Regions from separate parts of the Mus musculus genome. Here all the other regions are reported to be linked to region 5. The links are microRNA targets in miRTarBase. Many come from high-throughput screens and were not tested one by one. Region 5 holds a microRNA gene; each other region holds the end of a gene's coding sequence.

Region 1 (4,303 bases), not on the chromosome of region 5:
CCTCCTCTTTCCTGTAGCTGCTATCTGAGATCCTTTTATACCGTGTATCTCTCAAACACTTCCATCTTGGGTACCGTTTTAGTCCTGACTGTCAGCACTTGGATGAAGTGTGCTAATTGCTTTTAGAGTAAGGCTTACATTGAAAAGATTTAAGTATTGTGCTATATTTTAAAGTATTCTTATTGTGTAATAGAAAATATACTGTCAACCCTCCATCACATCACCCATTGAAATTAAAAATACATACACACACATACTTATATGGGTTTAGAGAGATGGCTCAGTGGTTAAGGTTAAGAACACTGTCTATTCTTGCAGAGGACCTGGGTTCAGCTCCTAGCACTCACATGGTGGTTCACAGCCATCTGGATCCAGGGATCCAATGCCCTCTTCTGTGCTCCATGAACACCAGGCCCACATGTTGTACACACATGGGCATGCAGGCAGACACTCATACACATAAAATAAGTCTTTACGTTCAGGAGAATACTGTTAATATATAAACTGTTTGCACAATAGAAAAAGTTCCAGGACAAGAAAGCGGTAGAGAAGCAAAAACCGTTAAAGATGGTTTTAAAAGTGTGACTAAGTATATGTTTGTGTGTGTGTCTGTTTGTCTGTCTTCTCCTGCAGGGAAGACTTCCCGTGCCTAAGGAAGTGAACCGAAAGAAGATGGAGGAGACTGGCGCTGCCTCGCTGACTCCGCCAGGCAGCCGTGAATTCACCTCTCCAGCTACCAGTTACCTCCACCCTTTTTAATCGTCCCACCTCCATTTGTATTGCATATGGTGTATGGGGTTTTGATGAGGTCTTGGTATCATATATGGGATTTTTTTTTTTTCTGTGTAAATCATCAACTATAAGAAGAAACTATGGGACTCTAAGCCTGGCTTTAGAGAATTTACAGTGGACAAATAGGTTTCATCAAACCAGTTTTTAATCATTCTGACTCAAGTGAAAACGCTCAGAATTTCACACTGTGAATCCACGTTTACAACCCCTACAGGTGGGCCTTCAGGCCTGGTTCGCTACAACAATGTCTTCCACAACTCAAAACTCCTACTGCGCTCAGATGACTGGTCCACTCCTGCCTTTCATCAGACAGCTCCCGACTGCTTCTTGCAGAGGCTGAGAGTCCCCCCCACGGTTTTTTTTTTTCTTCATTTAGATGTAACAAGCCTAGTAGTTTATGTTCATCAATTGTCTGTATATCTATATTTTACCCATGTACTCTTTTGATGTATAGAAGTAGTTTGAAACTCATTGTTTCCTTGTGGTAAGTGACTGAGACGCTGCCACAGGGCCTGAGACACTGATGAATGGTGCTATTTTGGACTTTCAACATGCTCCTTGGCGAGGTAGCTCTGGTGGAGTTGTTTTTATTTCCATGTTCTAAGAAGGTGTCGGTACTTTGTTTCCTGGAATGTTCTTCTCTAGACTGGACTGACTTGTTTCCCTTGTGTCTTGAGTGTGGCTTTCTTCTTCAGGGTTGTAGGTTGAGTGGATGCTACCAAGAGTGTGAGAGGCTGTCCTCTCGTGACTGGCCCTGGTGGATGTGCAGTCACGGTAGCGGGAGCAATCACAAAACTGTAATTGACCTACCAGATCTCTTCCTTTCTGCAGCCTCACCTGCCTGACTTAGAAAAAGAAAAGCAATAATTTTTTTCCAGGCGTTCTGAGGTTATCTCTTTGGATTCTTTTTGTTTGACTAGATATTGGGGGAGGGGGGATAAAAGTCCACTCTTTTAATAAGTGCCATGTGGGAAAAAAAATCCAAAGTGCTGGCATTTGAGTAGGAATTTGAAAATTATCCCTTTCCCAAAGTTGAAATTGGAAAAATGTCTTTACAAAATAGTGATGATGAAGGTGATGACTATGATAGTGATGACGATGTTGTTGTTGTTGTTGGTGGTGGTGGTGATGATGGTGATGGTGGTGAAAGGCAAAATACCTTTTTGGGGTGGTTTTGATAAGCAAGGTGTAGATTTTACATTTTTGTCCTTGCTCCCAATGAAATGGATAAACAAAAATAAAATCTGACAATGCCATCTCCTCACAGAATGTTGTTGTGTTAGCCAGACTGAAAGCCCACCTTAATTTTTATATAACGTCTTTGGCTCTTCCTTTGACAGGGCAGGCCTTGTTCTGAACTGTTTGCGCTTCTGACTGTTAAACACCAATGATGCATGCACTGTCCCTCTTCACTCTTTCTCTCGCTTCCCCTCTGGCTTGAGTTTCTTGTGCATTCTCGCTACCCCCACCTCTGTTAGGGTAGGTATATCAGCTATGTAAATAAAGCAAGGAAACGGTATTGTGCATTTGTGGCATTATGTAGAATTGCAGTGTGCGCTGCCGAAAATGCAGGCTTTTGTAACGTGGTCCTCTCATAAGTACCCAATGTATTTTAGCTATTTTAGTAGGATTTGTTCAATAAATATGCAAGCTATAAGGTAACTGTGCTTTGGCTCATTATTGTAGGGTCGGTCGGTCTTTTTTAACACCTCTGTCGATTCATACCACGTTTTGTGTTCCCAGGATCCCTCAGGTCAGACAGGCCAAGTGTCAGAAGGGTGAAGCAGATTTGCCTTTTGAAAATTTTCTCTCTTGAGGGCTTTAAGAGATTAAGGGAGAGGTAGGGGCTCATTAAGATGGTGTTAACAGCATTGCCCTGGTCACAAAGGAGAGGTAAATGCAAATCCTCCACTTCTCCTTAGGGCATTCCCACTCACCTCGAGACGCACGTTCCCACTCACCTCGAGACGCACATTCCCACACACCTCGAGACGCACGTTCTCATACACCGCAAGACGCACATTCTCACATACCTCAAGATGCATGTTCTCACACTCCCTTACCAGCAAGACCCACTCTGGGAAAGGTTGGCACCTCCACACAGACAAAAGACTCACATTTGTAAGAGGATCCAATTCTGAGATAGGCGTTGAAGCCATTGGTGTGCAGGCATGCAGTCACCCAGACCCCTGTGGGTGATGAATTGCCATCATCAAAGCCTTTTGGAAGTCTCAAGTGACTCTGAAAACTGGAATTTGGGGACCCATGCTCCATGTAGATAGACCCATGCGCTGCTGTAGATAGAATCTATGATTGACACATGCAAGGCGAGCTACTCTATAACTGAATTTTATGGTCAAACCCTCTTTGATATATTCTTTAGGAAGGGCAGGTGTGTGAGTACATCTCAGTTCTGAACAGAGACCTATGACTAGAGGATCTGAGGTTCTCAGCCAACAGCCAAGGGCGTGGGCATGGCTCTCCAGCTGCGGCCTCGGCATTGAATGTTTGACTGACGTCTTGACTGTTGAGAAACTCCTGCTGCATTCCTCATTCAGCCATCGTGGGACTGAAACGTCACCTTGACTTATGCAAGAGTTTCAAAATCAGCTGGTGGAGTATAAACACTGAGACACCTCACCAGAGGGTAAAGAACATAATTCTGAAATAAAAGCCAGAGAGAGAGAGAGAGAGAGAGAGAGAGAGAGAGAGAGAGTGAGTTAGGGGTGGGGTAGAACAGAGAAGCTTACCAGCCACACTCTGGGAGTGTGTCCTCCTCAATATGGGGGACAGAAGATGCTTTCTTGCTTTCTGGAAGATCCTCATTCCTAATTGTGCATGTCAAGAGGTATCTTATAAATTGGGAGGATGTTGAGTTTAATTCAAAATTAATGCACATTCCAGGTGAGATACTGGCACCTGTATACACACCCAGAGATTAATGCCTCTGAATACATGGGAAGGTCTCCTATTATTTGATTATCTTTTTACTTATGAGGAATCCTAATTTTCCTCACTCAACAACCTCCCTTTGCTTGGAGAGACATTGCAGCTATGGGGGATACACTCTACTTGGAGGGGCATTACAGATATGGGAGATACACACTGCTTGGAGGAGCATCACGGGTATGGGGGATACACTCTGCTTGGAGGAGTGTAACAGCTATGGGGGATACACTCTGCTTGGAGGAGTGTAACAGCTATGGGGGATACACTCTGCTTGGAGGATTGTAACAGCTATGGGGGATACACTCTGCTTGGAGGGGCATCACGGATATGGGGGATACACTCTGCTTGGAGGGGCATAATGGGTATGGGGGATACACTCTGTTTTATTGCCTTACTAAATTAAGACTTGCTAAATTATGAAAAGATCATGAGATGGGACAATCGGTGGCATTTCTCTGTTATTTTATTTCCATCCATCTTAATTATCAATTGCTCCTAAAGAGATTGAAACCACGTTTTACATATTGAAAACATATTTTTTCTTATCCCACAGGTTCTATGG
Region 2 (4,303 bases), not on the chromosome of region 5:
ATGTCACAGTTACTGAGGGTTACCAGGTTTCAGAGCGACATGTACCAGGCTATGGGAACAACAGTCCGTTGGAGAGAGATGTGGGCTCCACTGGACGGACATGTATCTATAGTCTTGGCTTCTGTTTTCATTCCCAGGCCAGTTGGAAATTAGATAAAAGTGCTGGCCACAGTCTAGTGTTGCATCATGGATGTAGACATACTTGCATGGTTATAAAAATCAGGATGCCTGGCCTGGTTTAGATTTTGAAAGACATTTGTGTTACTGTAGTTGAGATCCTGGAGGGATGTCATCGATTGCTGAGATATTTTAAAGGGCAGACTATGAGAGTATTTTGGCCACATGGTCATTTATGGAGCCACTGGTTCTGCCTGTCAAAGGAACGGGTCCTTAGCAAGGCTGGTGATTGACATATATTGCTCCCCACCCGGCTTCAGAATGCAGCCCAGTCTCAGCGGGCTGATCCAGCTGCAGGCTTTGAGCTCTCTAACTACAAGTTCAATGTGCTGTGCTCTGAAGCAAAGTTTTCTGGGCCTTTATAAGTAGTTATGTCCAGGGCCATGGCCTACATTTTGAGAAACTTCCTGCTGTTGGTTTTTACTCCACTGTGTGTCAGGAGCTGTTCTATCATTTAGACAAGGCTGAGAGTGCTGTAGAGTGATGGCTGCCACCGATGTTCCCTGTGTTCTTAAGTCACTCAAAGCGTGCCTCTCACCCTTGTTCAGAATGCAAAGTTCTCCTGTCTACCTGTCCGTCCGTCCATCTGTCTGCCTGCCTGCCTGCCTGTCTGTCAGTGTCTGCCTGCTGGCCTGCCTGTCTCTGTTTTTATCTCTGTGTCTGTCAGTGTGTGTGTGTGTGTGTGTGTGTGTGTGTGTGTGTGTGTGTGTGTGCACGGGAGTACGCTTCAGGAGCAACTTCAGCTGTCATTGTCAGGAGCTTCTGTGCCGCTGGTGTTCTGATTTTCCTCCACACATGCCCCATGAGCAAGGCCTGGCTTCTCAGGATCTGGTGGGGAAGCAGACTGTCACTGAAGCAAATATCAGGAACTAGCAAGAGTTACCGTCCGAGATGAGGTAATGGGGCTTTAGGCTGTTACGTCCTAATGTGCTCATTCAGGTCATTACCCAGGCATTAGCATCCACATCCTCTTCTGTGGAGCTCACTTCACAGACTCTCTTTTGATACTTCAAATCTTACTTCCCACACCACACTCCTTCCTTCTGTCTCCCCTCGCATTCTTCAGAGGCTCTAGAGAAAGGTGCAAGAGCTAAGCGCAGAGGAGGGAGGGAGGGGCAGGAGGAAGAAGCAGTGTTCTGTGGACTCACAGACTGATCTTCTTTCTCCTTTGGTTGACCTACCTAAAGTATGGCTTGGGGGGTGCTGGCCTCCAGACTTCCTCCCTTACCAGGGAGCAGATGTGTCTAGGAGATTGCACTGGCAGTTGTGCCATGTGTCTCACCACGTGCTGGGTCATCCCCATTAGCCTCCAAAAGCATTCTGGAAGCTTTTGCAGCCTCATCCTGCGATAGAAGAGCAGTTGAGTAAAATGAGGGAGATGTGGGCAGGCTGGGTGTGGCCATGCTCGGGGACTGTCCTCCTCACACTGAATTCCTGGAGGTTAGCAATAAAACAGGCTGGGCTTTCTTGGTACTGGGAGGGCCTCTACACCTTAACACCACAGCCTATTTACTGTTGATTCTGGTCAATTTCAATTGGGCCTAAGTCCTGTATGTGCAGCTCCAAATGATGGCCTCAGCAGTCACGGGACCTACATGATCCTACATCACAGCTGCAACTTATCACTCCAAACCAAGGATATGGAAAGGGAGGCCAAGGAGGGCTTCTGAAATAACTCCAGTACGCTTGCTCTCAACACTGACTTGATCAAGAGGGAGAGGGAAGAGGTAAGGAGAGAGAGGATGACCTTGAGGGCTAACCGGATCTCTAGCAGCCAGTGGCAAAGCTACCACTTTTTATACTGAGCTGATCCCTGCTGGAAACCAGCTGGAAGGTGCATTCTGCAGAAATGCAGGGGTCTAAGTGGTCCAAGGCAGGACAGGGTCTTTACCCTTTGTTTCTGCCACTCATGTCTGGGCTGGGAGGACCCAAAAGTGATGGATTGCTTGCTGGGCGTGGTGGTTCATAAATGTAATCTCAGCACTTGGGAGGCTGATAAAGCAGGAGAATCGCTGAGTTTGAGACTTGTGTGGGCTACATAATATATTCTATGCCAGCCTGAGTTGCTGAGTGAGATTGTTTCAAGAAAACAAAGTCCCCAGAAATCATAGTGATGGCCTCTATGCTCCTGGAGACCCAAGGAGGCCTCAGATGATCACCAAGCAATGTGCAGAACTCAAGCATAACCAGACGCTTCTTCAGTTAATAACTCCCCTGCCTCAGACAGTGCAGCGAGGGCACGCCTCGGGAGGCCACAGGGGCTGTATAGAGAGGAACATGGCTCTGTTCTGATGTTCTGGGTCTGTCTGGGGACCAGGAGGCGGCTTCTGGCACCTACAATGTTCCTAGCACCAGGTGCTTGGTGATGTGGTCCTGGGAGGCCATCTGGTGCAGGGGAAAGACCACTGGAAAGGGAATCAGGACCACTTTGCCTAGCTCTGCAGCAAACCATCGTAGTCATCGTGGCTACGCCGACAACAAGGTTGGAGTGGAACTTTTTCTGGAAGAAATTCCAAAAGGCTTCAGTAGCTCCTAAAGAAACCACACACCCTGTTTTTAAAGGATCTCCCACTATAAACTGAGTGACCTACTAACTCCTCTTTCAGAGCAGGTAGGATGCTGAGCCATCACTGTGTCTTCTGATCCTGTGACAGGGAGCCATCCACTTTCTCTGGGTTCCCATCTAGCCTTAAGGATGAAAAAGAACAGATTCTGTGTGAGGTCAGACAGGCACAATCCTCCTGCGTCCCTCTCCCCTGGGAACACAAGCTCTCTCCTCTGGATTCCTGCTGTTGGCTCTGTGGGTTTTCCTCTGTCCTGTTCTGAAAGGTCCCACTTGTTGCATAGGGTCTAGCTTCTTTCTATTGACATCAAGGTCACCATGAGGGCCAGCTGTGATGGGGGCCTTTGTCAGCCTACCCCCAGCAGGGATGGCATTAGTTAGCTTCAGGTGAGTAGTGGGCTCCCAGGCTGGGCTTCCCTATTTCTGTTTGCAAAACCACCATTAAAAAGTATTGCCTCTTGTGTTGCTGAGGTCCGACTATAATGTATGCATTTGATGAAGGTGAGTCAAGGCCTAGAAGAGGGCCTCTGCCCAAAGGCAAGCAAAATACTAATAAGACTGCAAAAACAAGCCACACAGACATCTCACTTGGTACCGGCGACAGGGGAGCAGGCATATGGTGGATGTAGTGATGCCTTGTCTGTCTAGAGGGCCCGTGTTGAGGAACCTAGGGGCTCCCAAGGCTACCATTCAGTCAGACAGCATTGGAATGTCATGGTCAAGGAGGGGGGAATGGCTGTAGATCATCAGTTCCTGCATCTTTAGGAAGCATATTTCCGTTGGGAACCAAGGCTGAGAAGGAGGGAACCAGAGAAAGGCTCCAGTGATCGAGTCTTCTTGCCTGCCTGCCTGTCTTCCAGCCTGGATAGGGGCTAGTCAGAGAAGAGACTGGCGAAGGACTTCCTCAGGTTGCGGATTGTCTCAGCCTTGGCCTCATCTTCACTTGGGGTCCCTCGATGGGAGGTATCTGATGTGCTGAGGCTGTTAGTCAGGGACTGAGATTTGCTGAAACAGAAAGCAAAAAGTTTGGGATGGTCAAGGCTGGAGCTCCCAAGGAAATGAGTCTGGGGCTGGCCCTGAAGCCTGCTGGCTGAGCACGGGGTCATTAAAAGATGGTGAGACCAGAAATCAGGCATTGCAGTGTGAACATGATGCTAGCCTAGAACTTGCAAGGTGCGTAGTATTGCCCTTCTTAGGTACAGAAATTGGGGTTCCTAGGGACAAGTATTTGGCTTAGATAGGCCTTCTAGCAAGAAGCAGGGAGCATGCACTGCTTATAAGCGTCCCTCCATCCCAGGTTGCTCTGTGTTTTGTGGGGCATGTCAGCCACAGTTGGATAGGCCAGACTCCAGTTTTCCCCTCAGATTTCCCAGAATTGGCTGAGAAGTCAGGCAGTTCCTGTTCTAGAGCTCTTGTCTCAGTTGAGGGTCCGTGGCAGTCCAGATCAGAGGTGTCCCTGAGCATGTCTGTGGAGAAGTGCCTTGCTTGTTGATAGATGCAGGAGGGTCCAGCCTCTGTAAGCAGCATCATTCACTGGACAGGTGGTTTTGGGCTGTGTGAGAA
Region 3 (4,303 bases), not on the chromosome of region 5:
AAGTCTAGGAAACTGATCATTTTGTGCAGAAGAACTGTGTATAATTCGGTCGTTCCATTCATGCTGCTTTTCCTGTGCTTCCAGATGGGCTGGCTGCATTCAGGGCGTTTTTAAAGTCCGAGTTCTGTGAAGAAAACATTGAATTCTGGTTGGCTTGTGAAGACTTCAAAAAAACCAAATCACCCCAAAAACTGTCCTCAAAAGCAAGGAAAATCTATACCGACTTCATAGAGAAGGAAGCTCCCAAAGAGGTAAGAAGACAGGCGCCTCAGATCACCTTCAACACTGTTGAAACCTGAGACTTGAATACACCACATTCAAGCACAAGTGAGAAGAGCCCTGTGCGCCTCTCATCCCAGCTGTCCTAACATTTAAGTTTCTCCAAAGTTGACAGTTATAACTGATCACAAGTTACACCTTTATGTTTTATTATTAAGCATCAATCTGCAGTGTTGACTAGCCAATAAATGGACTTTTGTTTTGTTCTTTCAGATAAACATAGACTTCCAAACGAAATCTCTGATTGCCCAAAATATCCAAGAGGCTACAAGTGGCTGCTTCACCACAGCTCAGAAGAGGGTGTACAGTTTGATGGAGAACAATTCTTATCCTCGGTTCTTGGAGTCCGAATTCTACCAGGACTTATGTAAAAAGCCACAGATCACCACGGAGCCCCATGCTACATGAGACCAGGAGTCCCCCCACACACAAAGGACATTCCATTCTGTCTCCCAAGAGCAAAGGCTGTGACCTGCCAGAAAAAAAAAAAAAACTGACCTTGAATTCAGCCTGAGTGTTAGGAAAACATCGCTCAGAACTATTGATTCAATGTTGGGTAGTGAATCAGGAAGTCAGCAACCTAGGAGAGGCTCTGTGTGAGAACGGCTTCCCTCACTGTGTGAAGAACAGAGGGAGGGAACAGGCCTCTGAATGTGTTCTTCCTCCTTGTCGGGAAAGCAGAGTTTGAGATGAAAGATCCGATGCAATGTTGTTGGAGCATTTAAAATCAATAGGTCTGGGATTATGTGGCCTTAGCTAGTTGGCTGTACACCTTCCCTAAACTAGTCCATGTTACCACATAGTGGTGTTAGTTCTAGTTTTAATATTTTAGTACTAAGTAACATTACAATGTTTACTGTGTGCAAGGGTGTTGACGTTCTTAGGACTACAGATCATTAGTACTAGTGTGTCACGTATCACTGAAACTGAGAAGTATGTTTGAGTTGTTAAATGGTGTGTGTGATGGACCGAATGCTGTGCCGTGCTGTAGAACCAGCGTCTGTTACGAGTGCCAAAAACTGTCTTGCGGGCAGCTAAACTTTGAAGTGGTTTTTGAATACTTTTAATAAATTTATTTTGCTAAATAATGTCATTGAACATTTGGAAGTCCCGATGTGGTTCTGTTGTTTGATTTCAGTAACTGGAAATATGTCAGCTATCAGAGAAAAGAACTTTCTAGCAAAGAGGTATCAGTGTGGATCAATTGTTGTACCTGCCCACTGAGAAATCAACAGCTGAGAAGTGGGAAATGCTTGCTTCGAGGAAGATGTTCTCCTTAAACCTATAGACATTATGTAGTCTTAAAAACATCAGACCACATTCCTAGAACCACTCATTGTGAAAGTCAAATGTGTTATTTAATAAAAGAAAAAGAAAAAAAGAGCATTGACCTGTGTGTTAAGGACCAGCTAAATATTAGTAAGTAAAGTTACAGGGCCAAACAGCCTAAGAAAAGGAAAAGGTTCGTGTAAATGTGGGCCTGCCTGGCGTATGCTTGGTTCCAGACACCTGGCATGGGCAAGAACCTGGTCAGTTCTTTCTTCTGTGATGGGGCAATACGAAAACCCCAAGTTTCCTGCACCTCCTGCCTTCATTTGGCTAATAATCTGTGCTACTCTGGGTAACACTGAAGAAGAAAGCAAGTGCTTTGCTTGCACTAAATGCAGGAATATGTTCTAGCTGAGAAAAGCCTTCATTCTGGCTAATTTGGAGGAATTCCCTTTCTGAAGCAAATTTTCTATATCTGGAAGTTTTAGTAAATGGGAGGAGATGGGGGGCACCCTCAGCTTGAAATTGGAAGACCTTAACTCAATGACATCCCATCGCTTTGTGTCCCTGGGCCCTCCCTGGATACCTCTCTACCCATCTCCCTAATATACACAATAATGGGGACTTGAGAATTGGAACATACTAAATGGGTAACTTTTTATCTATTTGCCAAAAGAAATAGTCTTTATGACTACCCTAATTCACACCTTTAACCAGATGTCTGGAACAAGCACAAGTACAGGAGGGACAACCTGGCTCATTTCTGTATCACCAGAAGCCAGAATGACATATAACAGGTACAGAATAAAATAAATACCGTTGGCATAAGTGAGTTCTGAATTCATTGAAACAGTGATACTGTGATGGAAATATGACAAATATGCCAGGTCTCTATAGCGCTTAATTCATAAAGGCTTTGCCTAACAAATCTCCTTTGCCATTAAGTTCCATTTACCTCACACTCTGTGCAGCTTTTCCTCAGTCCCCAGTCTGATAGAAGATGCCACCATGCCTGCAGTTAACCCACCACTCTCTGCTACCTCCTACACCTTATATAGTTCCTTCTTAACGCTAGTGATGCTTTCAACACACAAACCTGATCTTGCCTCCTGTCACTTACCAACCGCTGACGGCTCTCCTGAACATTAAGATGAAAGCAGCATTCCTAATATAGCATAACCCCACAGGGCTGACTTCCTCTTACGTTCCAACCTGGTACACAATCCCCTGCACCAGCATTGCTGGCCGCCTTCCATTTGCTTGAAGATGCTATGTCCCTCAGCCCCAGGGAATCTTTCTGTCTAATGGTTCCTCTCCGCAGTGTAATTTTAGCTCTTGCTCACCACACACCTATCAATGCAATTGCCACTTCCCCAGGGAAGTGGACTCTGATCTCCTACCTAGACCACATCTCGTTTTAGATGTTGTCACAGCAATGGGTTCTGTAATTTAATACTTAATAAAGGTATTTCTCATTTTTCATAATTGTTTGATAATTTTAACTTTTTCAGTTAGATTATGAAAAGCACAAGTGAAGATCCTGTGCCTCTCTCTCTCTCTCTCTCTCTCTCTCTCTCTCTCTCTCTCTCTCTCTCTCTCTCTCTCCCCTCTCTGCAGATTCCAGCATCTGTTATACAGCTTGAGCAAGATGGATGGATAAATAGATGAATGGACGGACGGACGGATGGATGTTGGAAGAAACTGTACGGAATTAGTGAGATAGGAAGTATCTGTCAATGCACAGAAAGATAAAGACAAATTTTACTAGGGATTTTTTTGTTTGTTGTTGGGTGGATTTTTGTTTGTTTATTTTTTGTTTGTTTAAGGAAGAGATCAGATTATAATTCCCAAGCTAGTCCTAAATTACTACACTTGAGTGATTCCCCTGTCTCCAGGCTCTGAAGTATACGGGACTGCAGGCATATTTCACAATACCTAGCTTTTTTTTTTTTTTTTAAGTACAAGATTTGAAAATTCCAGTCTCGAATGGGAATGGTTGTAGATATTTTCAGAACTTTTTCATTTGACAATCAATCAATAAATATTTTTAACTAGGCATATTCCCCATGCCATTTGACCTTTGGTAGAAAGAAAAAGCCAGTAATAAAAATAATAAATAAATCAAAAGTTTCAACTTGCAGTGCTTTTGAAAGCATAAGCTTTATTGAGATGGTATTTTCCATGGCCTCTCGTGTGGAACAAACTGAAACAGATTTCAGATTAGAAACCACATACCTCCACAAATAAGTATAACTTACTGTTCCAGTTTCCCACAGTTCAAACACTCTGGACAGACAGTCCATTCATTTTGATAATTCTTCATTGTGAATGTATTTTAATGCCAAAGATTTTTCAAAATATAGTCATTTCACACAATCACCATAAAATAAATATAGCAAAAGTTGTTTTTATTGTCATGTGAGCACAGTGGGACAACAAATAACTTTCAGTGAAATAACCCAAAATGTAGTAGGAAAAACTTGTGTGGTACTTTTGTGCTGTCTGATTGTAGTATTCCATTGTTTGGATCTGGAGAGTAAGAAAAGGCAGAGGCTGGGAGCTTCTGTCAGGAGGACGGTCATCAGAGAATGTGGAGATGAGAAGCCTGCCCTATGCCAAACACTGTTTCCCTAGTCTGAAACTGCATCTGAGGGATTAGCCTGAGCTACAGAGAGCATTATCATCACCAAAAGGCAAACTTTAACAGGTCTGGTTGAGATGCTTTTTGACGTACCTAGTCCTTTTTGCCAATGTC
Region 4 (4,303 bases), not on the chromosome of region 5:
TGATTGTGTCTGATATATAACTCTCCCTCCCTTCTAGGGCTAGCCCTGCTGGGCTTCCTGGTGTTGGTGCCAATGACCATGCCCTGGAGTCAGCTGGGCAAGGATGGCTGGCTAGGAGGTACACACTGTGTGGCTTGCCTGGTGCCCCCTGCAGCCTCTGTGCTGTATCACCTCTTCATGTGCCACCAAGGAGGCAGTCCTGTGTACACCCGGCTCCTTGCCTTGGATATGTGTGGAGTCTGCCTTGTCAACACCCTTGGTGAGCCAGGGCCCCAGAGAGGTGGCGGCAGGGGCCACTGGTGGGAGCTGTGGGTTGGGAAGATCAGCTAATTTGGACTTAAACCCTTTCTCTCCTCTCCTCTCCTCTCCCCCCACCTCTCTCCCTCCCTCTCTCTGCAGGAGCCCTGCCCATCATCCACTGCACTCTGGCCTGCAGACCGTGGCTTCGCCCAGCTGCCCTGATGGGTTACACTGCACTGTCAGGTGTAGCCGGCTGGAGAGCTCTCACTGCCCCCTCCACCAGTGCCCGGCTTCGAGCCTTTGGTTGGCAAGCTGGGGCCCGCCTGCTGGTGTTTGGGGCCCGTGGAGTGGGGCTGGGCTCAGGGGCTCCAGGCTCTCTGCCCTGCTACCTGCGCATGGACGCACTGGCTCTGCTTGGAGGGCTGGTGAATGTGGCACGCCTGCCAGAGCGGTGGGGGCCTGGTCGCTTCGACTACTGGGGCAACTCCCACCAGATCATGCACTTGCTGAGTGTGGGCTCCATCCTCCAGCTCCATGCTGGGGTTGTGCCTGACCTGCTCTGGGCTGCACACCATGCCTGTCCCCCAGACTGAGCTGCCTCCTAGCTGCCAAACTGGCTTGCCCACAGCTTCCTGGACAAATTCCACCACCTTTCCTCCTACTGGTCTGCAAGGGGCTGGTTCCCTGGAAGAACCAGCACATGGGACTTCCTAGCTGGGAGACCATTCTTCATTCTTCCCCATGGATTCACTTCTTGCATCCAGGCCTTCAAACCCCAGCTTCCACTTTCCTTGCCATCTTCCCTCCTGGGCATTGTTTTGCTGTCATTAGAAGGAAACCATTTTTTTTTTTCCCAATTTACCCTGTTTAACCTGTGAGAGTCTCTGACAGTTGAGTCCTGCCAACTTACCAAGCCTCCAGCCCAGAACCACTACCCCTATGTTGCTGCTCCCATACATAACTACACCTCCTGCTCCTGGATTCTTGAGCTAGCCACTCTGACCCTGCTTCCTGACCTCCATCTCCCTGCTCTGCATGTCAAACCTCTCAGCAGCCAGAATTTTGCTGTTCCTGTCATTCCTGCAGTGAGGATGCAGAGGAGTGGGACCAGGCTTCTCTCAGAGCCAAGTGGACATTGGTCCTGCTTGTATCATCTGGCCAGGAGACAGGAGGGGAACTGCTGCTTTTCCTAGGCAACAGGCACAGCTGTGGAATGGAGGTGTTGGATTCGGGCTTCACTGGACCAAGGACTCAGCTCTTCAGTGCCATGGTCTGACTGACCTGCCTACCAGAGACTTGTCTGCTCAGGAAATCTCTATACAGTGGGTGGCTCCAGCCTGCTGGCCCAAGGGTACTGACTCGCAGCCAGATCATCCCAAAGGCCCAAGACCCTAGGCAACATCAATAAAGGGACAAGAAGAGCTATGCTGCCACATGAGCAACCTTGGGTGTTCCCAAGACGCATTACTTTTTATTAGACACGGAAGTTTCAGGGGAGAGGTGGGCAAGACGGTCAGAGGTTTAAAAGCACCAAGGCTGGCTGGGCCTGTGCTCAGGCTGGGTCTAGGGAGTCCTCAAACAGGCTGAGGAGGTTCCTTGGCTCAAAGGTGGGGCAGGGACCTCTTGGAGGCTCTGAGTCCACATCAGTTAGGTCCAGGGCATCCCTTGGGGGAGGAAGAAGAAGAAGAAGAAAAAAAGAATAAGACACTGGATCCTAAAGAAAACCGTGCCCAAGCCTAGACCCCGGGCTTGCTCACCTAGGTATGTACCTGCCCCGAGGGGTAGAGGTTCTTCTAGTGATCCGGGACAGGACGGTCTCTGGGGAGAGTGAGGGACTACAAGAAAGAGGACAAGCAGGGTGGTGACGGTTGGGCAAAGTAGGATATAAACAGCCCTGCTCCTCCTTGTTTCAGGCCTCTGCTTGGTGAAGGGACAAGGCACACTTGAAATAAACACTGGCAGCTGACAAGTTCTCCCGCCTGACCACATTCATGGGTTAACTCTGTCCCTTTTCAGGTCCAACTGAGCTGGGTGTGGAGTTTTGGTAAATGAAGCTTCTCTAGCATTTAGAACGAGCCGTCAGAGTGAGGGGATATTTCTATAATGGGAGGCATCCTGAGAGCATAAGGTTCCTCCTTGCAGCCGTTTCTTAATTATACACTCTTTCCCTTGGCTAGCAGACACCTGGGAGCAAGGGAATCCTCTCAGGACAGGGACTTACCAGGTGCTGGGAGGTGTCCACTCAGTGGAAGACAGCACTTTATCTCTGAACAGGGACAGCCTCTACAGAGGTGGGGACTGCAGTTGTGCACTGAATGTCACAGCTGCCTACACAGACCACCATCTACCTCTACACTGGCAGTCTTTGTCCCCTGAGTGTGACAGGGGCCCCGAGACCCCTCGCATTGACCACAATGATGTACACACACACCACCCACCCTATGCTGTCATTATCCCAGCTGCTGGAGAGGGTGCTGTCCAGGAGGGGGCTGCAAGGTGGAGAGCCAGGTGGTGTGGCCGGTGGGCCTGGAGGCTGCAGCCAACTGGCAGGATGCACCAGCCCGTGCCAGAGCCAGCAGAGCAGAGTGACCAGGGCCTAAAGAAAGAATGAGCCTCAGAAACCAAGCCTTGTGATGAATCACAGCACTTGGGAGGCTGAGGTAGGAATATGATGAGTTCAAGGACAACAGTAATCTATACAGTAAGTTCAGAAGTGAGCCTCAGGAGGCCAGGAAGGTCACCTGGGCAAGGAACGGGTAGGGTAGCCCAGCACCATAAAGGCTTACCTGCCACAGGGCCCAGCCTCGACTTAGGGCTTCCGCAGCCATATACCACAGAACATTCCAGGGACGTGGCTGCCTCAGCATGGGTAAGGCCAACAGGGCCTCAGCTGTGGCTCGAAGCTGGGGGTCAGGCTCCAGCATCATGGCGAGGACAGAACGCAGCTCAGAAGACAGACCTGCCGATGAGGCAGGGCCATGTCGGGGCAGGGTACTGACTGGGCCCTTAGTCCAATGGTGCCCCCTACTACTCACCACCCCTTGCCAGAAGCTGGTGATAGTTGGCTCTTCTTCTGAACCACTCACCAGCAGTGAACTCAGGGGGCAAGTATCCCTGGCGCAGCTGCTGCCAGCCCTCCCCACCATGGGGCAGTTCCATGTTACAGGCCACTTCCAAGATGGTGAGACCCAGACTAGGAAGGACAGGACGCGAAGACAAAAAGAGGCAGAGTCAGCTTTGTGACACACATCCCAATCCTATCCAGCATTCTGGTGGGAAAGGGCCGTTCTCTTCTACCATAAACCATAAAGTTAGTGAGAAAGGGGTAAGGAGCTTTGAGGAGAGCCCTGGAGGGCCAGTGAGCACCAGTCAAGATGGACACCTTGAAGTATGGACTCCACACTCAAGCAGCTAGCCCATCAGAACCACACTGACATGCAAATGGTTCCATGGTTACTAGGGTTGGCATCATCATTCTGTAGAGATGAACAGAATACACTGAGGCAGGGTAGTAGTAGCCAGTATGGTCTCAAAACCCTGGGTCTGGCTGTAGTCCCAGATGTTAACTGTGGACTTAACAAGTCCCTCCACCTCATTACTCTCCCTGTCCTGGAGCACAGCCATGAAGCTGCAAGGAGACGGCTAGCCTACAGTATAAAGGGCCTCTGGCAGGCTTGCTGCTTACTCTGGAAACCTTTCAGCTAGCAGGGAGTGACAGCACCTCCCAGGCTGGATTGCCCTCCTACCCTGTGCCAGGAAGGAGCTCCTCTATCAGGCAGTCCCTTTCTGTCTGCTGATCAGCCACCAACAAAGGGCTCTTACAGTCCTCACCCAGGCCTCACCTGAACACATCTGCTGCTGTCCCATAAGAGCCCTGCAGCAGTTCTGGGGCCATGTAGCGAGGATCTCCCTCCTGGGCCTCGCCAGCACCGGCTGAACCCAGCTCCACCAGTAGTCCAAAGTCGCCCAGCTTGCAGCGGCCCCGGGGGCCCAAGAAGATGTTGGCAGGCTTGACATCAAGGTGAACTAGGCCTTGACTATGTAGATGGTCCAGAGCCAGAAG
Region 5 (4,303 bases):
GGAGGGTAGGGGAAAGGAAAGAAGGAACTCTATGTACTTTGGAATGAAACTCCCTTGTAAAGAAATTGTTTGGGGCCACGTTTGCATTGCTTCCTTTCCCCCCATTTATTTCATGTCGAATCAACTTCCTAAATTTTCATGGGAACTACCATGTTGCCTATGTAGTCTGCATATGCACAGGATCAGATCAGGTTTCAACAAGAGGTACTCCCACTTTGAAATGACTGCAAAAGTCAAAATAGTACACAAAAGTGATTGACAGTCTGCCCTATTTTACCCCCACTGATGCTGCCAAGTCTATGACCAAAATCTCAGCATTTTCTTCTTTGACAAATGCTAGCTATGCATAATTAGTGTCAGAGATGACTTCTTCTTCTCCATCTCACTTACCAGCCTCCACAACCTGGGTACCACCCAGTAGAAACCTCAGCTTCCTTCATGAAACATCTGTGAGTCCAGCCCTGAAAGCCTTGAAAACACCCTTTATCTCATTCTGCTCTTTAGAATTAATCCCTGGGCTTGAAGAGAGAATGTTTATTGAAATTGCCCTAGTAAAGTGAGCCACAAATTCAGGGAACCCCCAACACTGGAACCACCAGGAATGTCTCCTATTCTTGCATGTGAAAATGTTTACAGATTACTTATCTGAACATTCACATACCACAAATTGGGAAGTGAAGCCCAGAGAGAAATGAAGGTTTGTCAAAAGTAACATACATCAAGTCAATGGCAGAACAAAGACTGGAGGTTAGACCTGTGGATTTTTAGCAGTGTGTGTACTTTGCTGCAGACATCTTCTGAAGATGGTCTTTGTCCCTAAACAATGGTATTTTTCCATGCAGGGTAAGCCAGTAAGTCATCCCTAGATAGAGATGCATCCCTCCGACAATTCTGAGCAAAATTGGGGTAACAATATGGGTCTTGTTATTTAGGTCACTGGTTAGTGGGTGAAAAGTTAAAGAATGAAAGTAGGTATCTCCAGAACCAAGGGAGAGTATGGAATTTCTCCAGAACCAAGGGAGAGTATGGAATTTCTCTAAAGAAGCTTGCCAAAATATATGTTATGAAATGTTAGACTCTGGAGAGAGGGATTGGAGATGCTTCATTTTATAGTTCTATATTAGAAGTTCACCCCAGTGCAATGATAGAATATTAAAGGCTCAGAAAATTCTGTTTAAAAAGACACGTGTAAACCAATAATTCAAAAAATTTTTCCCTCTGAGTCTATTCTTTCTTCTTGCCCTCCTGCCCCAGACCTAAATCTTATTTCTCAGAGGAAAAAAAAATCCATTTTGGTTACCATCTTGTATACACTATAGCATTAGAATACCCACAGTTTGATTTATTTTTTTCGCAAAACCCTGGTTGGTATTTGACCTATATAGCAAAAGGTTATTGACTAGTAAAACATCAATTAATTGGTAAATATTTATTAATAATTAAAATGTTGGACAATGGTATGAGAGACAGCAATCAACTGAATATAATAAGCTCTAGATTCTTACAATATAATAGGGAATTCAAGAACATACCCTGGAAAAATTCACTGACAACTTTAGAAGATGTGTTGGATGGTAGGACATATAATAGCACATACCAGTATGTGGTTAGCCAAGGAGTAAAGAAAAGTATAGGTTAACTTTCAATAGTGCCAAGAGGAATTGGAATTTGGTAGTGTCTGAAAGCCCAATGAAGATAAACAAGAAGGTTCTTTTAAGAATGATAAAAGCAAAGTGGAAAAGAGAAAATGTAGGTAGCTTAAGATGTGCTCCGAAGGCCAGACAGTGGATATTTATTTCCTACTTTCTCATAGAATTCATGATGCTTGTATGAAAATTCTGCTATTCTGGCTGCAAGAAGAGGAAAGTGAAAGAAGACATTAATAATAAATCAAATAATACTCTCATTCCCTGTATCCCTCATGTACCACTATGCAGTCCATGGCATTTTCACAATGTACACAGATGCATACCAGACTTGTAGACCCCAGAGCTGCATCGTTCCTACTCTGATGTTCTCTGAATAAATGTTATAGTTCCCTTAAAGACATAGAATAACACCAGAGAGCTTCATGTTTCATAAGCATTCATATGTAGGCAGCAGGCTATGTGCTCTGTCCTGGACCTGGAGCTGATAGGCATGAGCCACACTTGGGGTATTTGACAAACTGACACTCTACCACACAGAGTGTCCAACTCAGCTTGTCAAATACACGGAGCGTGACACTGCAGATGGCCAGATCAGGAACCTCCACTGGGCAGCAAGAACATGCTGGAAGATGTGCAACTGGAAAGAGAAAAAAATAGGGTGATTATATCTTACCCTAAGTGTGAGACAAATGGCAGACACTAACATGACTGACTAAGACACACCAAAAGAGGGAAGTGAACAAAACACGCTAATGCTCCAAACAAAAACGGGGATCCTGGGTGTTTGTCTGGAGATTCTGGTGGCCCAAGCCTCAATTAACTCTTCTATTCAGCTGAAACAGGAAAAAATTGTCATCATTCTGTCCTCGGGGACAATTTATGTGTTCCTTCCTCCTATCAACTTCTTGTATGCTCTGTTTACCCTGGTTATGTACCTAGATGTTGATTTTTAAAACTGGATTTGAATTCTACCTCTACCATTAACTAGCTGAACACCTTAAATAAATGAGTTTATGTCCCTGAAACCTACTTCTTCCATAGCCACAAAAATGCCCATGAAATCATGGCAAGAATATGTAATAATGCATATAAAGCCATTAATTTAGTGTTTGTTACCTAACAAATACTCAAAAATTGTGGCTATAGCCAGGTATGATAGTACATGTGTGCATACAAGCTTTCATAGACAGAGATAGGAGAACCTCAGATTTAAAGTCAATTTGGGCTATATAATACTACCCTTTCTCAAACAAAAAAGTAAACAATCAAGATCTAGAGATAAAACTCAGTAGCAGAACACTTACCTAACTTGTACAATACTCTGTATTTGATCCCCTGTACATAAATAAAAGTGACTAAAATGTGCTTTAAAATTAAACATATAAGATAGATACTAACAGGGGAAAAGATAGATAATTTATTTAACAGAATTGAAACAGTAATTTCTTGTGGCCTTAGCCGGCTTTGTCTAACTTGGTTGCCTTTTCTCATAAGCAGTAAAGAATTAATGATATTAAAATGCCCTTATAAGTCATCTAGTTTTACCCATTCAAGATTATAAATGAGAAAATGAAGTCTGATGTTTAGGGAAAGACTTCCAAAAGGTCATAAAACAAGTTGTTTACAGTTTGGGAATTATATCATCCATCAGCTCATTGTGTCCCTTGGCTGTCCACCCCACCACTTTTTCTTGTCTGCTTTTTATATTCCCTTGCAAAAGGGAGAGCAACAGCAACAAAGAGCAAAACAGGCAGTGGATTTTGCAGGGAAGTATTAAGATGTTTGAACTCATAGCTACCAGGGCAGCTGCCAGAAGAGCCAAGCCATCTCAATTTATTTGATATTTTGTTTAGCATCATGATCCTGTTATTCAAAATGCTTGATAGTATCAAATTTTGTCCTACCCAGGTTTAAAGTTTTCTTGGGCATCAATTGTCTTCTCTAGAAATAGAGACAGAAATCTTACATCTCAAGGTCTTGAAAAATGTTGGATGAGACTTCTAGAGCTTTTTAGAAGGGAGCTTAAAGAGACCTTATTTCCAACTCTGGAGCTAGTAAAAGCCAAGGAAAGTGATTAAAAGAGAAAGGAGTAATGGGTTATTGGTTTTGGTTTTCTTGACAGCATCTCTGCTTATCATCTGCTGTAAGGAGAGCTAGACACTTTAGAGATATCCATAGCCTCTCAATTGCCCTATCCGACCTCACATAACCCAAGAACACTGGAAAAGAGCCATGAAAGGGGCTAAAGAGTTCTAGTGCACTGACTTAATAGATTATTATAAATACTGTTTTCCAGGATTGATGGAGAAGTCAGTCCTTAAGCTGGGTAAGGGACTATTTCATTTTCATTCTTGATGTTCCAGTTCACACCTATTCAGAGGAATACATATAAGAGAAGCAAGTTTAGTTGATTAAAGTTAGTCAGACCCATAAGAATGAAGACATAGATGACTACATAGTCAGTCTTCATGACGCAAATTGAAAGGCATAAGCTTGGTAAAAGAGGTATAAGATTTTACCAAAAATCTATAAATGTCCAGAATAAGCCACATATCAGAAAATATATTTGGTGATAAAGAAGTACTCAGGACCATGTCTTAATATCCAGATTTTTTTCAATATAAGGAGAGTCACCTGCCTCAGTTGCAGGATAC
Region 6 (4,303 bases), not on the chromosome of region 5:
TAGTCGCAAGGAAAATGACTGATTTGGTTGTTTACATTCTCCATTTTTAGTTTGTTTAGTTAGTGCCATTTCTAAGGCTACACGTGGAAGACAGTGGACTCTTGAAGTTAACATGTGCACGTATCCATGAGGGCAGGAGTGTTGGAGTGGTGAGAGGATTGCTCTTCAGACCCAAAGAAGCTGGGATCAAAATCCACACCCCCCAAAGACTTCTCTGCTCTCTCTGGATCATAAACATTATCTTTCCCAGCAAAGTTAATTAACAAAATTCTTTACAGAACACAGTACGTTCTTATTTGCTAAGAAAACGGAACAGCAGTAGATTTTGTATAACCTGGCCTCTGTGGTAAATACTTAAGAGCTGTAGAATGAGACCAGTTAGTCTTTGCCCTAACAGATCACAGAATGATGTCTTGTTCATGCATTCAGTTTGTTCTATGCTCCATGACCAAGTCTCTCTCATCTACTGGTCAGCTGTTATCGGTGCCTTTATATGATACTCGTTCTGGTAGTGATAACTGACTGAGAGAAGCCAGCCACGCTACCACTGAGCCATCAAGTGAGCATGTTTCCTCCAACTGCTAAGACTTGGCTACATCCTAGTCCAGCCCTGGGATAAAGACCTATGAAGCTCTAATGATGGATTCTGAGAGATGAAGTATTAGTTTCCATCTTTATTGCACAAGAAAAAAATTGGGCTATAAGGTCAATGTATCCCATTGGAAAAAATGATCACACTGACCCACCAAACACTCCCTAACCAGCAAAAAAATACACCCTCTCCCTTTCTACAGAACACCATGGAACATATTAAGGACCAAGGTTGCCTACTGAAGGGACAGATTTGTAAGTCCTCACTATGCCAACCTTCTGTTGCAAAATGAATACATGAAGCTCCTTTGAATCTTCCACAAACACAGTCCAGGTCTCAGAACAGTTCTCTGCCCCCAAAACAAGAACACTCTTGTGTGTAACCGATATTACATAAAATAAATACTGGGTTTTTTTTTTTCCTAGCAAGACCCACTAGAGGGCATAATGTATACTGTGAACATTCTCAGAGCATTGGGGGTCTCAATGGGAATGTTTTGACATTGACCCTCAGGGTTGTTTCTCCTCCATCCATCCCTGGCTTAGCTAAAAACCAATCCTTCATGAGATCCAGGAGCTAAATGTTCATCTTTCCCTCAATGTGCTATTTAAAACCCAAGAGATTTGCTTCCTATTTTCTTGTCCATGGGGGATCTCTGTCCAAGGGTGCCGGCCACTAGGAGACGTGCTACTGGTACCCAGGCTAACCTGAAGGAGGGGAAGACGAGGTAATCTGATTTGCCTGCTTTCATCTACCCAGTAGAAATGGTCAGCACTTGTCAGTAGGATCCTGACTGTTAAGCACATCCGCCATTCCGCTGAGAGCCCTGCCTGTCTGTCACCATCTTGATTATTATGGAATTCCCCCTTGAAACTTGTTTCTATCAAGCAGTTGTCTGGGCATTAATCTGGTGTGATATAGGGTGAGGGAGTGCAGAGATCACACTCATAAAAGCAAACTACAGAAAAAGAAGAGAATACAGGTAAGTTAAGAAATAGAAAAAAAAAAAGAACGAAGGTAGATGGGAAAGGGAGAGAGATCATGAAAATGAATCAGTGTTTATAAAGATCACTTTGTCCACAACATTAACCAAAAGATCCAGCTACAGACGGATATCTTTATCCAGGGGAATGAGCTGCACCCTCTAAGATCTGAAGGTAGCTAGCTAGCTCCCGCCCACCACTTCTCTTCTCTCCCTTTTCAATATCACGTCTTGCAATGAACCGTGCTGTGGGAAGCAATCCCAGGAATGGCCACACAGCAGTGTGTTGTCTGTATGTAGTGTGTGTGTGTGTGTGTGTGTGTGTGTGTATTTGTTGGGAATGGAGGGATGTGGTGGTGGCAGGAGTTGGGGATGGGTCTGAGGCTTCTGACTGACTATTGCTTGAAGAGAGAAGATCTTCCACGCTGTTGGGTTTAAGGCAGTTTGCAGAGCCCCGGCATTGCTGTTTCCTCTGTAGTCAAGGCTTTCCCATCTGCCAGGCCCATTACCTTCATCTGCTCACACGTTCCACTTTTCCTCAGGTGAAATATCACCACAGGGGTGAGCACCAAAGTGGCCAGAGTGCAAATAACTGTAGTGGATGCTTCACCCAAGGGAGGAAGAAGGGAAGCCAGGCCTGGCCTGTTATTGCTCAGAAGCCACACAGGCATTGCCTTGTATATAACCACGATGTTTCACAGTGCCTCTCTGAGTGCTCAGATAGGATCTCTCGGGGATTTGAGCTAAATTCAGATGATTTCACTAAACACACAAACGTTTCATGGCTTTAGGACAAAGTCGCTGCTAATGCTAGCTAGTAGGAGCTACGTTGGCACGGCGTTATTGCTCTCGTGTATCTACTGCAGTACAAAAGTCAGGTTATCAGCCCTTCTCAGATTACACACATCTATGAAAATACATCAATAAGTATGAAACACCAGTCATACCAAGGGGCCTGGGAAATCCCTCTGAGGGAAAACACAGCCCATGAAGATGCTTGGAGATGCTATCCTGAAGATCTCTCTGTGTGCTTTGGGGATTTTATTTTAATTATGTTATCCAATTCCAGAAGAGGGAATAAAATATCAGCAGGGGAGGACTCTGGGAAGCAGCTCACACATGGGAAACATGCCCTATAATCTCCATCAATCTTCTCTAAAGTCAGTCACATGAAGGTCTCTCCACTGTGTCTCGGGAAAGGGCTTTTACCACCCGGGATTTGTGCACAATGATCCTGTCTTGACGCCTGTCCCTTCCTTCAGCAACTTGCTCTTTTGACCGTAATTTTAAAAATAAACAATAGTGTCCAATGTTTAGAACACAGATGCGCCATCCCCCGGCCCCTGGGCAGTGGTTTCCTTCCGTTCAGTCTATACTGCAGCAATACGCTCTGGTCCCTGCTACTCACTGACTTCCAGAGAGAGCGCCCTTGGCTTTGACTCACATCTTCCATCTAAAGGACAACCCTATTTAGAACCTGAAAGCTATTGCTCCCTCCCTCCCCCCACCCTGGATTTAAGCATCACATATGTTCTTTCTACAAATTGGTATACAGGTGCCATTTAATCGGTTCAAATTCGGAAGCTACATCTTCAAGGGTCTGAGAGTTCACGCCTCCATTTTCCCCCTTTACATAGTCTCTTATAAGACATACAGCTTAATCAATTAACAAACTAAACAGCTTATATACTGGCAATATATTACAGATGGATTTATGTCAGAGTAATAGATCACATGAAATGGACCATGTGGTACCCCGGTGTGTGTCTTGGTGGAGCCTGGAGGACACTGACAGGAGCATCTCTAAGTGCTGTTTGAATACAGACACATGCGGGATCTGTATCTACATCCATCTGACTAGGCCGGAAGAGCAGGTAGACGCGAGATAGAGACACACACATGCTGGGCGGGACCCGTGCCCACCTCCTCATGCCATTTGAAGGGCAGTTACAGGTTGCTGGTTCTGCAGCCACTTAAGTTACACTTTAGGGAAAGGTTTCTCTAATTGTGTCTGATTTGTCTTGTGTAGTAAGCACTGCTGGAGGGAAACCAAAGCGAGCGCAACTAGAAGTTAAGTATACATTTCAGCTCAGCTGTGATACAGAACTTTGGAGAAGCACGCAGAAAAATTTAACTTAATTTTATGTTGGATCTCTCTATTGTTATTTTTTTCTTGACCTTTCGTGAGTGCGTTGTGACAGTGTGTGTGTGTGAGAGAGAGACAGTGTGTGTTTGTGTGTATGTGTGTGTGTGTGTGTGAGCAAGCTGAGTGTGTGTGAGAGCAAGCTGTGTGTGTGCATGTGTGCTGTGTTCTATCGCGTCATCTCCTGAAGAACGCTGGGTTTCGCAGGCAGGCGGCTAGTCACCTGCAACAACCCAACGGTCCCGCCGAGGCCTCCAGGCTGCTGTCAGTGTCAGATGCGAGGGTCTGGTCGGTGGACATGGAGGAGATGTCGTTGACAGACGAGGATGGAGGGAGACTCTCACTGCTGTTCACTGCTGCACCTGTGCTAAGAAAATGAAGACCAACATGACTAAATCTGGAACCAGACCCATGTGCTCAGGATGTTCAGTGTGGGGATGGGTATAACAAGAAGAAATGTCTCTTCTATCTCTTTGGCAGACCTTCATTGAACTGAACTTGATGGTGGAACTCAAGGAGACACAATTCAGAAACCCCATCGCATGTCACATCTATTCACAGGTTAATGGTTATCAATTTCGCTCTG
Region 7 (4,000 bases), not on the chromosome of region 5:
CTTTTCTGTTGTTGATTGAATTGAAACAGTGGTATCTTCTACATGACTGCCATGGACTTTTATTCATGCCCCATTTACTTTTCTTTCTAGATTGTGAGTACTCAGTAGCACAGCCTTTATCCTATATTTATCTCCTATTTTCCACGTTCATTTCATTAGACAGTTTTATTTCTGTAAGTTTATGGCTTTCACACCACAAAAGAAGAGACAGAAATTAGAAACCTGCTTAAACATTCCATTATCTGCCTTCTCCTCAGTTAACGGTAAATTTGAACATACAGTGTTCCTGAACTTAGCCCTCCACTTTTCTATGAACAAATGTTTAAAAAGAAAAATAGCCCAAAATTGGAGCAATATTCTTTGCAAATGTCTTTGCAAATATTCATGGTGGAAAATGTCATAAAATACATAACATCTTGACCAGCTTATGTGGGGTGAAATACATTTTTATCGAAACATTTTAGTGAAGAACTTTCAACAGATTTTAAATTTAGAACAAAGAAACTAGGACCCGAATGAACACCACACACACACACACACACACACACACACACACACACACACAAACACACCACAATCACACCACATACACACAATGCAACAGCACTATGAAGGCAACAAGAAGATGCACACACACACAAACAACTCACTAACATCACATACACACAATGCGATAGCATTGTGAAGGCAACAAGAAGACACACACACATACACAGAGGGAACCAATGTCATAAAGCTATATGTAATTCCTTTGAATAAGTTGCATAAATATGGTCAAATTTTGAGACATGAACACACCAATCATTTTCATATAAATGTTTTATTGCAGAGAAGTTATAGTTATTTACATGCTGCAACACATCACAACATAAATTACCAGGTATTCCATGGTGGGATGCTGTAGATTTAGATAATAGTTTTAGAAGAACCACAGGTTAAGTGAAGAGACTTACAGCTTTGTTGACTCTACAACTCTTGACTGCTAAGTGCTAGAAGTCAAAGGCAGTGTGTTGTCAGTCCTACCTATCACCACTCGCATGCAGAAACCTAGGAAGCAAATACAAGACAACTGTCGGGATTCAATCCGTATTGCCACCGAAGTTTACGAGAGGTCAAGTCATAATTTATGTTGTAAAGCATTTAATTCTTGCATAAAATATACACTTCTATTAAGACAGATATAAATCTACTTATTTATAAACCCTGGCTTAAAACAACAACAGGGTGCAGCCTGCACATGCATTGAAAGGACAACCTAGCAAATGTTTGTGAGACCTTCACACTGTATGCACTTTCTATTGTTCTCAGCCAGGGAAAAGAGCTTCCAGAATGACAGAGTTCAATTTCTTTTGGTGATAAGTTATGAAAATGAAGCTCTAGGAAAGAACCTAGCTATTTGTGCTGATTTGTGGCGGTGGAGAGTAATCTATGGGGGGCAGGGGCAGACTGTCACTATGGTATAATTTGGCAAATCTTCTGTGAGCCACACATCAAGCAGGGTCACCCTGAAGTGCAGTGAAGTCAGTGACAGTTGCCTGCTTAATTCTGAGGCAAATCTAGTGCTAACAGCTCTCAGACACAAGTGAAACAAGTACGCAAGTCTACAAACTCTAAGCCAAGTTCACAAATGCTCCTCAAAATAGAATTCTAAAGTCACAAAGTAGATAGGCTTTGATTGGAAGGGTGGGGATGATAGGGATTAATGAAGGCAGCAGTTAGCAATAAAATCTCTATAGATTTCCAAACCTAGCCCACCAACCTGAGTAATGAATGAAGCAAGCAAATGGGTATGCCCAGCTCTGCCAACTCCTCAAGTGCTTGCTTTCTCCTGAATACAAAAGTAAACACTGAGCAAAGTTTGATGATAGACACAAAGCATAAGCACAGCCTTATATCCACCTTCTGATTCCTTCTCCCCTCCTGCATCATCCTAGCAAATTCTTTTTGTTGCTCACCAAAGGTAAAACAGTTCCTATGGATGGAAATGTCTTCGTCACATAAGCAGTTGTTTAGTATTTATGATGGGAGAAAATCAAGCCTGGGCTGTAGTTTTAAGTGATAGATCTTTAAATGAAATGTGCCTGGATTTTAGAGTCTTATTTCGGCATTGCAATCCTTAGAGCTAAGTCAGAAGCTCAGGATGTTTATGCTAGAGATCAGCATGGAATGCAGCAAGTTCTAGAAGATATGCTTTGATGTATGCACACCAATCTTAGGCTTTGCATTTTGAGCTAGGTGGCTTGCAAGGACAGTTTGAAGGACTTGTAAGTTCTGGTACTGGGGAGTGTAAAGAGCCTGTACCACCTATGGGCTTTGAGTAAATCAAGTTATAAAATCTCTTTGGGATTTGAGCCCAGCAAATTCTGTACCTAGATGAAGCAATGAATAAAAGTTTATGAGAATAAATAGTTTAAGGTAATTTAAAATATATTTTCAGTATGCATAATAAAAATATATCCATACAATGATCTTGATGCTATCATTAATTTTTCTCTTTATAAAAATAATCCCTGGAGCTATTAGGAGCGACCTTTCTGTATTTGTCATGAAAGGCAATTTCCTGGACCTGCAGTATGCACTCGTTGTTAAGGCGCTCCTAGAGTTGGCCTCTTCTGTTGGTAACAATGTACAGCATAGTTTCCTCATTCGGCTTCTTCCTTAGGAAATGCTAATGTGAAATACTGAAAGAGTCATTGGGTTGATTTAGCTCTGACTTGGAACAAACAATGGATAAGTTGTCCTTAACTTACTGAGACATATGACTAAACAGGACCACTTCATCTCCGAGATTAATAAAGCTTCAGAGTCCCTACAAGAAGTGTAGAATAAGCAACTCAACTTATATTTAAAAATTAAGACATTACAACAAGCCATGGTGGGAAACAAAAGAGTCAGACCCAACTTCACTATATAAACCACAGCCCAAACTAAAAGTTTTCATCTTAACTGTTATGGCTTCCTAAGCCAGAGAAAGCTTACTGTACTCCAAGACTCAACCACACTTGGTAGATGATAGCAGGTATTTGGTAGGTTGCAATGACAATTGAGTAGCTGCAGATTGCATAAATGTGTTGTGTCATATAATATCAAAGTTATTTGCAAAAATTATACAATCTGGAATGCTTGAATACAAGACACAACAATGTACTGGAACAGATTTTAAGAAAATGAGAGCAATCGTGTATATAAAAGGTATCAGGGTGCATTAAGTTAGCAGTGCTACCAAGGTTAAATAGGTAATGAAGGTTGGCTTTTCAGTCAGCTACTTAGAATCACAGTCACATTTATCTAAGTTTTCCCATCTTAAAATCCATGCGTCTGTCTTCCATGCCTCCTGGTGAATCTTGCTTGGTACCATTCAATCCCATGTGTAAAGACAGACAGGGCAATGTCCCTTAAACAGGCGGAAATGCTAAGCTGTCCTCCAGTGTTGATCTGGCTTTTCATGGCAGAGTCAGCCTTCCTTCTTATGATGCATAATTGCCTTTTTCTGGCCTTCTCCAGCCCTTGCCTTCACCTTACTGCACTATGTGCCATGTTTCCCTAGGCTAACAAAGATGCCTTGGTAACTTGTGATTTTCAGATCTATTTTTATCAAACTCGGGATTACCCCTTTCTTCCCAGGGTGGTCCACTTTGAAAGTGTCCCAGACTTCCTATTTCTGAGGCCCTGGTATCTTATTTGCACTTAAAGCAGAGGAGGCAGGTAAAGTTACGCTTCTTTCAGCATTTGGTTGTTCTAGGGGCTCGAACTCCCAGGGACACACTTCGGCTCGTGATGTTAAGGGCTGATGGGAGTTATTACTTGAGTTACAGGAGCCAGGAATGATATCCACAGAGGAAGATGTCTGTTTCTCCTGGTCTCCCATTTGGTTGAGATTTTCATTCTCTACTTTTGGTGCTACGACTTTGTGGGGCAGTTCTTCATATTGCCCAGCACACATATTGGTTGTGTAGAGCTGGCTTCCATTCTCCTCTCTGGCTCTCCCTGGGAGAACTGG

What was found. Region 5 holds the annotated microRNA mmu-miR-223-3p (UGUCAGUUUGUCAAAUACCCCA, at 2,152-2,173, opposite strand). A microRNA usually pairs through its seed, bases 2 to 8, with sites in the 3' UTR of a target mRNA and lowers its output. Matches are read on the target gene's strand: a 7mer-m8 pairs with bases 2 to 8, a 7mer-A1 pairs with bases 2 to 7 and ends in A, and an 8mer does both.
Region 1: the mRNA of Nrep is a reported target of mmu-miR-223-3p. The part of its 3' UTR that is shown has no 7-base or 8-base seed match.
Region 2: the mRNA of Syn3 is a reported target of mmu-miR-223-3p. Seed matches in the 3' UTR shown: 7mer-A1 at 839-845 and 7mer-A1 at 789-795.
Region 3: miRTarBase lists Rgs2 as a target of mmu-miR-223-3p. Seed matches in the 3' UTR shown: 7mer-m8 at 771-777.
Region 4: miRTarBase lists Paqr4 as a target of mmu-miR-223-3p. The part of its 3' UTR that is shown has no 7-base or 8-base seed match.
Region 6: miRTarBase lists Mapk10 as a target of mmu-miR-223-3p. Seed matches in the 3' UTR shown: 7mer-A1 at 1,369-1,375.
Region 7: the mRNA of Gpr158 is a reported target of mmu-miR-223-3p. Seed matches in the 3' UTR shown: 7mer-A1 at 1,012-1,018.

What each region holds. Positions count from the first base shown.
Region 1 is chr18:33,435,170-33,439,472 of GRCm38, reverse strand. It overlaps Nrep (neuronal regeneration related protein), which reads left to right. Exons shown (of 4, transcript NM_053078.4): 4 at 634-2,454. The coding sequence ends at 759. Among named protein-coding and RNA genes, the nearest start is that of Nrep, 26 kb to the left of the region's middle.
Region 2 is chr10:86,051,920-86,056,222 of GRCm38, forward strand. Syn3 (synapsin III) reads right to left here. Exons shown (of 14, transcript NM_013722.3): 14 at 1-3,745. The coding sequence ends at 3,613. Among named protein-coding and RNA genes, the nearest start is that of Gm51812, 15 kb to the right of the region's middle.
Region 3 is chr1:143,998,064-144,002,366 of GRCm38, reverse strand. Rgs2 (regulator of G-protein signaling 2) reads left to right here. Exons shown (of 5, transcript NM_009061.4): 4 at 85-251; 5 at 493-3,029. The coding sequence ends at 687. Gm41964 (a long non-coding RNA gene) reads right to left here. Exons shown (of 4, transcript XR_878589.2): 4 at 3,696-4,303. Among named protein-coding and RNA genes, the nearest start is that of Rgs2, 3.9 kb to the left of the region's middle.
Region 4 is chr17:23,734,096-23,738,398 of GRCm38, reverse strand. Paqr4 (progestin and adipoQ receptor family member IV) reads left to right here. Exons shown (of 3, transcript NM_023824.3): 2 at 38-259; 3 at 400-2,213. The coding sequence ends at 833. It overlaps Pkmyt1 (protein kinase, membrane associated tyrosine/threonine 1), which reads right to left. Exons shown (of 8, transcript NM_023058.3): 3 at 4,083-4,303; 4 at 3,327-3,433; 5 at 3,027-3,199; 6 at 2,679-2,836; 7 at 1,998-2,075; 8 at 1,670-1,904. The coding sequence ends at 1,793. Among named protein-coding and RNA genes, the nearest start is that of Paqr4, 4.1 kb to the left of the region's middle.
Region 5 is chrX:96,240,754-96,245,056 of GRCm38, reverse strand. It overlaps Mir223 (microRNA 223), which reads right to left and starts at 2,240; the gene lies at 2,131-2,240. It overlaps F630028O10Rik (RIKEN cDNA F630028O10 gene), which reads right to left. Exons shown (of 3, transcript NR_030718.1): 3 at 1,415-4,019.
Region 6 is chr5:102,909,249-102,913,551 of GRCm38, forward strand. It overlaps Mapk10 (mitogen-activated protein kinase 10), which reads right to left. Exons shown (of 14, transcript NM_001081567.2): 14 at 1-4,079. The coding sequence ends at 3,937. Among named protein-coding and RNA genes, the nearest start is that of Gm30396, 280 kb to the left of the region's middle.
Region 7 is chr2:21,827,349-21,831,348 of GRCm38, reverse strand. It overlaps Gpr158 (G protein-coupled receptor 158), which reads right to left. Exons shown (of 11, transcript NM_001004761.1): 11 at 805-4,000. The coding sequence ends at 3,656. Among named protein-coding and RNA genes, the nearest start is that of Gm39766, 13 kb to the right of the region's middle.